2 linked regions of the Yarrowia lipolytica genome follow. The protein of the gene in region 1 purifies or fractionates together with the protein of each later gene. This does not show direct contact. Links are inferred from orthologs where the notes say so. Each region holds a gene or a part of one and is shown in the gene's direction. Other genes may lie near its edges.

Evidence for each region. The genes of interacting proteins can lie anywhere in the genome.
Region 2: the proteins of YALI1_C30795g (region 1) and YALI1_E17466g purify together in Saccharomyces cerevisiae (affinity purification with mass spectrometry; 3 studies listed by BioGRID). This does not show direct contact. The link is inferred for Yarrowia lipolytica from reciprocal best matches to the Saccharomyces cerevisiae genes RIO1 and RPS2.

What each region holds. Positions count from the first base shown.
Region 1 is NC_090772.1:3,076,661-3,082,450, reverse strand, and holds YALI1_C30795g (uncharacterized protein), read left to right. Parts: upstream 1-2,899; coding exon 2,900-4,792; downstream 4,793-5,790. UniProt on the Saccharomyces cerevisiae protein: Required for the final endonucleolytic cleavage at site D converting 20S pre-rRNA into the mature 18S rRNA. Required for the final steps of cytoplasmic maturation of the 40S ribosomal subunit.
Region 2 is NC_090774.1:1,744,423-1,749,170, reverse strand, and holds YALI1_E17466g (40S ribosomal protein uS5), read left to right. Parts: upstream 1-2,557; coding exon 2,558-3,337; downstream 3,338-4,748. Other genes in the region: YALI1_E17484g (uncharacterized protein), read right to left, coding at 1-439, 697-701. UniProt on the Saccharomyces cerevisiae protein: Component of the ribosome, a large ribonucleoprotein complex responsible for the synthesis of proteins in the cell.

The sequences.
Region 1 (5,790 bases):
CATTTAACTAACATATCTCATGTGGTCACGTGACTGCACGTGACCCCCAAGCCTCCACGAATATCCTCAACTTGCTCCCTATCAAAGGTGCAGCAACCTCCAAGGTCCCCAATTCGAAACCTTAAACCAACCACTCTTAATGAACCACTTATGCCATATAAGAGGTTGGTTCCTTGTACTGATTATTGGAAATACTCATTATTCAGCAATTTGGTACCATTCGCTCGATTCTTTTGATACACCGTTATGCTTGCAACATATTCGCCGTTCGCCGTTCGCCATTTTCCCAATGTCGATTGGGGGGGGGGGGGGGGCGGAAGTTCATAAACTGTGTGGGCCTGAAGGGGTTGCAAAGTCATAACCCTGTGGGCCCGCCAGGGCAGGGCTGTCGGTCAATAACCTGTCCTACCTTTGGGAGTTTGGGTCATAACCTGTTGGCCCGCCAGGGCAGGGCTGTGTCGGTCATAACCTGTCTACCTTTGGAAGTTGGTCATAACCTGTGGCCCGCCAGGGCAGGGCTGTCGGTCATAACCTGTCTACCTTTGGAAGTTGGTCATAACCTGTCGACTGCCCAACTCATAACCTGACAGCCGCCCATGCATCAACGTGCATACAGGAGGCGTTTTCCTTGGTCATAACCTTTGTTGGTCATAACCTGTGGCGTAAAAAAAGGAAACTTCATTTGCCCGTTACCGCTCATGCCCCATCCACCTGACCTTCGCAGTGATTTCTTTGATATCCCAGATGCAGATGCGATACCTGCTGTCGATTCGGATTCCAGAATGCGATACGTTGATTGCGATACCCTTACCCTATACCCTAACCTGTTGATATCAGGCAAGAGCTGAATTGTGCTGTTTAGAGGCAACTGCAGGAGGCGGTGCATGTGAAAGCGTTATCGTGGTTCGGGAATTGCGGTGGCAACACCAGGGCTTATTGATTTATGGCTTGTAAAGTATGGGTTATGGCTTAGTAAAGTATGGTTTAGTAATGTATGGCTTACTACTCCACGGCTTACTCATCTACGGTTGACTAACTCAGAGCCCTTTTCGCCATTGGTTGGAGTGATCCAATGGCGAAAAGGACTCTGCCCAGAATTCTTGGCGTTGCCACCAAACTTTTGGGTGTCCTTTTTTTGACTAGGAATGTGGAGAATGGAGTAGGTTTTGTTTGCTGGCAAAGTTGAAGGAAGTGGGATTATGATGTGTTTGTGGTTGTTTGAATTGTCTTGTTTTTGGGGTCATTTTGGAGGCAAAAATCGGCAGTATTTTTTGGTGTTTGTTTGGTCTTAATCTGATTTCTGGCTGTGTTTTTGTGGCCGATTCGAGATTTCGATTAGATTTTATCATCTTTTTGTATCGTCGTATTAGCCACGTTTGATTTTGTTGCTGAACTCTGATTGTGGGGCGGCGGCGCGCAAAGGGGAAAGCGGTTTTGTCGGTTTTTAGGCTGCGAAACCGAAGGGAAACAGGGCGTTCGCGGTACCGTTGGAGTCACGTGATTTTTGCCTCTTTGCTGGGCGTTCGAATGGTTTTTTTTGGGCGGAATCCGGACATTTTGGGGTCGGTTCTTTTTGGGCGATTTTTTTATTATTTTTGAGACTATTTTGCCATTGGTCTGAAAAGTTTAATTCAATCAAGAAAACGATAAAGAAACCCAAAATGACAGAATGCAAAAGTGCAATACAAGAAATCATATGACGGCAACCCGAGCAGCGATAATCCCTACAAGTATATATAGGGCGGTGGTATGGTCCTTTTGACATCTTCACAGACAATCATCGACAGAGACTCAATTACCCGAGACTCAATCACCACCAGACCCATCTAACCAGTCGCTCAAGAAAAACTCCGCCGGACGTTTTTTTTTAATCCACCCGAACAATCTCACCAACTACCAAAATGGCCTGCTCTACCAACTGCCACTGCACCAAGCCCTGCACCAACTGTGCCTGCGACACCAAGTCGTGCTCCTGCGGACCTTGCAAGTGCGAGTCTTGCCAGTGCACCAAGGCTTGCGAGTGCGAGAAGAACCCCGATTGCAAGTGTGAGACCTGCAAGTGCGAGGGAGCTTGCAAGTGCTAAGCCCACTGATTTATTCAATTGATTTTCCGTTGAGAAGTACTGTATTTGTAGAGTAGTTTTCTCCGAATAAAAGCACAATTAGAAAATGAAGAAGAAAAAAGTAGGGGAAAAAAAACACATAAAAACTGAGTCGAGGGTGATTCTTGCAAACGCAGGTAGGCTCGCAAGTGTTGAATTTTCGACAGATTTTATTCAGATTCTTGCGTAGAAAAATGCTCACAGATGTATCGTGAATCTCCTAATAAATAAAATATAAATGTCGATTGGAAAATCTTATAATTTTAAAAGAGGTTTGTTTTTTTTTCTTTTTTTTTTTCTTAATTACTGAAAGAGAACTGATACATCTGAGAACTCTGGAGCTGAAAATTCCAGAATATTGAAAATTGCTAAACAACTGACACTCTTACATATACATTGATGGTTGGGTTGGGTTGTTGAATTTTCTGAATCATCATCCATTCCTCACAATTTGTATTTCTTTTAATTTTAAGTATTATTTAAAATCGAATTCCCCAACTATTCTTTGATTAATGTATCGCCACATCTAGAAAAAAATGGAAGTATATCTAGACAATATCTCCAGCCCCAATGATTTTTAGATCAAGTGATACCCCCACTCATCTATATACCTCACTTGACATGTTTACCGTTCCATGTGACAATTTTTCTGATTTTCCGATTTTTTCCTATATTGAAATTCAAATTACATTTATTAATTCCCCAAATAACCTTTGATCGTGCATAACCTCTTTTTTTTAAAAAATTCTACATCACTTATTTTCTGTGCACACCAACGCATCTAGAAGGACAACAACATGGACTGGGAACGCGAAATTTCGAGCGGAGCATCTTCGACACTGCTGCCCTCGACAGATCCCGATTACAAGGAGCTTGACGGGGTCACTGTCGATTATGAGGACCTTATTGACGAGGACGAAGAGGAGGAAGACGAAATCGTGGAGGACGACTACGAAGAGGAAATCACCTCGGGAAATGTGACTAAGCGGTACAACAAGCAGAAGAAGGTGGTTGCAAGCGTTTTAGGCGAAAAACCGGCACAACAGACCGCTGACAGCGACCTCAGCAAGTACACGGGCCGATTACGTATGGACGACGACTATCTTGATTCACTGACTCATCAGGGGCTTGCTGCACGTGATGGGCAGGTGAAGGGCAAGAAAAAGTCGTCTGGAGGTGGATCTCAGACAGGTGGCAATTCTGCTCTCATGGGGACCGCCACCAAAGACCGGGCTGATCGAGCCACTAATGAGCAGGTTCTGGATCCCCGGACCCGAATGATTCTGTTCAAAATGATCAACCGAGGAATTATTTTCGAGGTCAACGGGTGCGTTTCCACCGGCAAAGAAGCCAACGTGTACCATGCGTGCACCGAGGAGGGCGTTCATCGTGCCATCAAGATCTACAAGACGTCAATTCTGGTGTTCAAGGACCGAGATCGATATGTGAGTGGAGAATACCGGTTCAGACATGGCTATTCGCGCCACAATCCGCGCAAAATGGTCAAGGTATGGGCTGAAAAGGAAATCCGAAACCTCAAGAGATTGCATACCGCCGGAATCCCGTGTCCGGAACCTCTTCATTTACATCTTCATGTTCTGGTGATGGGGTTTCTGGGCGACAAAAAGGGATGGCCCAGTCCCCGGTTGCGAGATGCCAAAATCTCCGAGCTCTTTGCCAACCCTGCCGAGGAATACACTGCTCTGTATCATCAGTTGTGTGCGTACATGCGAATCATGTATCAGAAGTGTCGGCTAGTCCACGCCGATTTGTCTGAGTACAACATTCTGTACCATGAGCGCAAGTTGTACATTATCGACGTTTCGCAGTCGGTTGAACACGATCATCCTCATTCTCTGGAGTTTCTGAGAATGGATATCAAGAATTGCAATGATTATTTCCGGAAACATGGAGTCAGCGTGTTTCCCGAGAGAACACTCTTCCATCTCATTACCAGCCCGTTTCTGGAAGACATCAAAATCACCGACGAGATCTCCGTTAGTTCCCGGGAGTTGGTGGAGGTGGATGAAAAGGATGGTGAAAAGGGCGACAAAACGACTGGAGACAAGAGTGACGATAAGGCTGAAGATGATAAGAGTGAAGACAAGGGCGAAGACAAGGATGAACACAAGGATGACAAAGTTTCCGTAATCGATGACTCCACTACTGTCTGTGACACTTCTGCTACCATGTCTGGCCCTGCAGAGGCGAAAAAACGAATGGAGGAAACAGTCGACTCGCTCACCGCATATATCCAAGCGATGCCCATTGAAGAGTCCACGGACCAAATAGAGGCCGATGACGCCGTGTTCCGGTCGGTCTACATTCCCCAGAACCTCGACCAGGTCTATGACGTCGAGCGAGACGTGGAAATGGTCAATGCCGGCCAGGGCAAGGATCTCATCTACTCGTCGCTCATTGGCAAGAAGGACGAGGAAGAAGACCAAGAGATGGGCTCGGAAAGCGAGTCTGACAACGAGAGCATTTCGTCGATTGACTCGGAGGAGCGCGAACGGCGGTTCCAGGAGAAAAAGGCCCTGACCTCGAAACTGGGCAAGAAGTTTGAAGACAAGGATGCTAAAAAGGAGCGAAAGGCGGCAGTCAAGGAGGCTCAGAAGGAGAAGCGCAAGGAGAAGATGAAGAAGGCCACCAAGAAGAAGCTGATTTCCAAGTCCAAGGGTAAACATTAATTGGCGTTGTAGTGGTGACGAGTTGTCGCTGGAGATGTGCAACGACCTTGTCGACGGCAATTCGATACCGGCGCCTTCTTGAGTCTGAACATGCTGGATCTGTTGACTGTACTTTACTCCTACACCCAGTACCCAACCTATAGATTATGTATTGTTAAAATCCAGAAATGATAGACGAAAAGAGAAACTCTGCCCGGTAGACGTTAGTTTCAGCCTTCTTAAGAAGTTTTCACGACCTCTTCACGTGATGATACAGTGTTATTTTCAATCCGTTCTCACTTGGTCCAAATGATGGGAACTCATTTCAATACTGTACAATTACTGTACAAATACTTAACCAATCAACAAAATTACTTGGACTATCTGAGAAAAATGTTGTTTGATGCAAAAAAAAAATAGTACTACCAAAAACATAAAAATTATATGAATATATCTATCCGATTTTTGCACTTTGGTTATATAAGCGGGCAAACCATCTACTGGAATATACCACCAAAGGCGACTGGTTCGAGGAGAAGCAAAAAGTCTCTAGTATGCAAAAACATATTTTTTTTTCTATTTTTTTTGTATTTTTTTTATTTTATAGTATTTTTTTATTTTATAGTATTTTTTTTATTTTACAGTATTCATTTATTTTATACTATTCTTTATTTTATCGTATTTGTTTTATATAGTATATGTTACAAAAAATGAGAAAAGTACGATTGTTTCGATATAGTCAACATAACCACTTACAACTCACTTCCCCACGTAGCACGCGCTAGAAGAGTGCTTACTCATTCACCAGAGAGAGATTCTAGATGAGCAGATATACCACCAGACACGCCACCGGATACACCATCAGATAAATCATCAGATACACCATCTACAGGAACAACTTCTTTACAACCAGCTGGTTCCTCTCATGATCATGTGGGGAATTGGCGGGTATTACTTAAAAAAGTGCCCAAAACGCCAGGAGCACGAGTGCCACGCGCAAACATAGGAACATTCAATTT
Region 2 (4,748 bases), on another chromosome or scaffold:
GTAAGATCGAGCAGAAATGAGGTACTGGAAAGCACCGAAGGCAGCAAGGCCTCCGACGTAGATGCCGGCCAGCTTACCGTCAAGCTCACCTCGGGTGTGCTTCTGGTAAGCGGAGTAACCGACACCAATGGCAGCGACGATGCCGACAACAACGTTGGCAGCAACGACGGGGTTCTGGAGCTCGTTGGAGATCTTGGCGTAGAGCTCGGAAGACTTCTCGGACAGAGCCTTGCCGTCCTTCTTGAGCTCCTCGGCAAGCTCCTCCTTCTTAGCAATAACATCCTTCTCGACCTTTCGGAACTCCTTCTCGACCTTCTCGGCCTTCTTCTCGATCTCCTCCTGCTGGCCAGGGGTCAGAACGGGGCACTGCTTCTCCTCCTTGGTCTGAGGGGGGGCCTTGTGGGCGGCGTCGGCGTAGCTCTCGTTCTTGTTAGTGTGGCTGGGTTAGTAACGGTGTGTGGCGGGAGGCGTCGTGTGCAAATTGCCTGGTCAACATGTCTTGATTGCCTCGGCCACTGTGCGATGGACAGTCTCTGAGTCGTCTCGTACAACTCGCCGTCTGGGTACTTGTAGCCGGTGACTGCCATTGCGGTCTTGTATGATGAACCATTGAGGTCATGTGGCATGGTACTGCTCGTCACAGTATCCGTGTGGTCCTTACTATTGGGCGTCCAATAGCTCCGGGTTGTTACTCACGACATGATGGTTTTTTGTGTGGTTGGAAGGAAGTGTGAGGTGATAATATAACTGGTAGCAACTTGACGACGCCTGACTCCAAACCTAGACTAACCACTTGCCGATCAAGCGAACCTTAAGCAGAAGGTCGGCAGGAACTATTGGAGGGTGTGTGCAGTATTAGAGACATGTGGAACTATGTGGGAAGGAGCCCTTGTGTTTTGTGTCCTTTCGAATGTCTTATATATACCGTGTGTGGTCCTCCAGAGCACTCTTCTTCTCCCAGCCCCGCCACCAACTGCCCTCCTCGCTAAAACATGTGATATGTTTGCTGCTGCAGTGGCGTGTCGAAACACACAGGTCTCATGCACCCGGCCCAGGACGGAACAAAACGGGGCTGTAGTCTGTGTTTGCTGTTGCGGCGGCTGGCTGAGATGCACAAGAAAAACACCTGCGATGATCCTGATCATCTATTGTCTTTGCTGAGTGGAGGTGGCACTAGTTGAACATGTGCGATGCTGTATCATTCGACGGAGTACGAGTTCATGGATTGCTACTGTTAATGGGTACTGTAACTTGGCCAGTACCACCGCAAAGCCTGCTCCATTGTTTTATTTTTCTTCTCATGTGCAAAAAAAAACAAAAAAAAAAAAAAAAAACATAAATTTAATTTTTACAGGTACTGTAATTACGATACATGCTGCATTGTATTAATGAAACAGGCGATGAGGTCCGCAATATACGAGAGTCAAGCACAAGCGGCTCCGACAAGAGGAATCTTGATAGGAATCAGTGCGAAAAATGGGAGAGGAGAACCGAACAGTTTTTGAGACGATACAATGTACTTTTACTGAGGGCTTGCGTCAATATAACCCTTTCAGACATAAACTGTTGTCGCGGACATGTGATATCACAGCATCACTCGTAATCTGGGCTTGGTGAACACTTGTCGGCTACTTGTAGTTCGGTTCACAGTCGTTGTCGATTCCTGAGAAACATGAAAATGAATAATCGCACTTGTGTCAAGTGATGATCTACTTTTAATGTGGTTGGAATTGGAGGCTGGTGATGAATGTTCCTTTTTACAAGTATGTAAATACTTACTATGGTCAGTTCCGAGCTCTCGTATTCAAGATTCCAACGGAAACCAACCACTAAAGCTGGCGCGCAAAGCAGTTTAGACGAGAATCCTGGAACTACCAAACAGCGGTGAAACTGTAGCTGGATTGTAGACCGTTAGTGGTACTACACGCACCGCCTGTGCCGTCTTTACAATGGGACTGGCTAAAAACGTTATACGATCTGGAGAGGCGGGACCAGCTCCAACAGCTCAGTAGAATCAGCCAACAGTATCTGCAAGTGGCTGCGCATAAACGTTTCAAACAGGAAGCAATCGGACTGCTCTGTATGTTCAGCTATGACAGTCTTTTGATCGACTTTTTTCCGTTTTGAATCAGATTAATCACCACTTCCCACCGCTTACCACAGACGTGAAAAGGCTGAACAAATAATAAAAAGCCATACAAGTGTCAGAATCTCAAGTGTAAACCCTTTCCAACACCTTCTCGGTCTTAATTTTTGTTTAATTTGATTTTATTGGTATTAATGAATTGTCGTTACTAACGGTACCGGGAATTTATTCCTTGAATCGGGCGAAAACGATTTCTAAATAGATCGGTGAGTGCATTAATCTGAATTTCCCCAATTATCCCGTTCCCCATCCATCTCATCACCCCAAATAAGCTTCCATTGTTTAGCCTTCTTCTCTGTCACATGATTTTTCCCGTTTGGGAAAACAGTCACAGACTCTTTCCTCCCAACTGCAGGTAGTGAAAAAAGCGAGCCACGAATTTCATCTTCACAACCGACAAATATATCAAAAATGTCTACTGAAGCAGCTGCTCCCCGAGGTGGATTTGGCCGTGGTCGAGGTGACCGTGGCGGACGAGGCCGTGGCCGAGGTGGCCGAGGCCGAGGCCGAAAGGACGAGGAGAAGGGATGGGTTCCCGTCACCAAGCTTGGTCGACTTGTCAAGGCCGGTCACATCAAGTCCATGGAGGAGATCTACCTGCACGCTCTCCCCATCAAGGAGTACCAGATTGTTGACCAGCTCCTGCCCGTTCTCGAGGATGAGGTCATGAAGATCAAGCCCGTCCAGAAGCAGACCCGAGCCGGTCAGCGAACCCGATTCAAGGCTGTCGTTGTCATTGGTGACTCCAACGGTCACGTCGGTCTCGGTATCAAGACCGCCAAGGAGGTTGCCACCGCCATCCGAGCCGCCATCATCATTGCCAAGCTCGCCATCATCCCCGTCCGACGAGGATACTGGGGTTCTTCTCTTGGTGAGCCTCACACCGTCCCCACCAAGACCTCCGGAAAGTGTGGATCCGTCAACGTTCGACTCATCCCCGCCCCCCGAGGTTCTTCCATTGTTGCCTCCCCTGCTGTCAAGAAGCTTCTGCAGCTCGGTGGTATCAAGGATGTCTACACCTCTTCTGCCGGTTCCACCCGAACCCTGGAGAACACCCTCAAGGCTACCTTCATTGCTATTGCCAACACCTACGGCTTCCTGACCCCCAACCTGTGGACCGAGACTGCCCTCACCCCCTCTCCCCTCGAGACCCACTCTTCTTTCCTCTCTTCCCAGAAGCGACGATTCTAAGTGTAGTTTAGAGTAAAAATTGCGTATCCTATCGAGTGAACTTTGCATAGTAAAGTGAACGGACGTGTAGACCGAAGCGAGCGTGTATCTGAACTGTAGAACCACGGGTGATATTGTATTGTAGACTGAGATTCACCATGGTGAGTGTTGGATTCTGATTCATAAGCGAGAAGCCATTCATATGTCTTACCGAGTGCATTGTACAAGGTACATACTCTAGCACGGGCTGTGGTTCGTAACTGTGAAGCCGTGATTGGTTTGAAAGAGACGAGCACAGATAAGGATGTTGTCATAGTTCGACCAGCCTTCTGTGGTGGTGAATCTGACGCAATTGGGCTGGAAGTCGGGACTCGAAGGTGCTCTTGTGTGAGAGTCCTAAAGAGCTGCTATTGGTGACATTGAGATTCGGCTCGGAGAAGAAGCTCATTCGCGAACCTCGTGCAGAGAGTCATATGAGAGACCTTGATTTCCCCGAGTGAGTGAGTGGTCACTACTAGGTCAAAGGGACTCTTGATAGGACTTGATGATGACTTGATAACTTGAAATGTGGAGACTTCAATCGCCGAACTCCTAGAACTCCACGGAATCTTCCCGTCTGTTCTGCTCACAAAAGTCCCAGCAGAATGAGCGTATAGCTTTGCCAGTTCCTAGTATAGTATGTACTGTGGGACTGTAGTTAAGCTTGAGACAATAGAGAGAGCGGAAGTGCCGGTCCCTTTACTATAAGTGGATAGTAACATTGGGAGTCCGTCCAAGCCCTGTGTCGCTGCGGGAGACCTTGTATCTACCATACTGGTGACAGTTGTACCCCCTACGGGTGAGATACGTCTGGTAGCCCTGAAATGAAGTACAGATGGATCTCAGTAGCCGTAGACCCATATTTTGCCGACACTATCCGAGAGCGTTGTACAACTCTTCACCAAGAGCTCCAATATGACTACTGGTGTAGTACAAGTACTTGGGTCTATCGATTCTTCACCTCAAACTGCGTCACTCCACCATCCATGTCTGAGGTATCAGCATCTGGTCTGAACAGACTGAGAACTTGTCTCATCCAAAACGGTCGCCCAATACCCCTGGTAGTTGCTTCACTTCCCTGTCATCCACAAGAGTCAACAAGACATGTCCGACTGTCGCACGTTGTACTTCCTTGACCACAAGGATCGATCTTGCCAGGCAGCTCTCTGGCCAGCATCGCATGTACCAGTACTCGTACTCGTACAATAATTCGGGGGAAATACCTCACCGAGGCACAGTACTTTTCAAGCTCCGGTGTCGGTCTTCCTTCTTGTGCAGCGCACTTCGTATCATACTGATGTGCGCTAGTCCATCACTCACAGGACTGACATGCTTAGACTGCCAGTACAGGTACCGCACCAAGAGATGTACGATACGGATACGGTACCCCCTG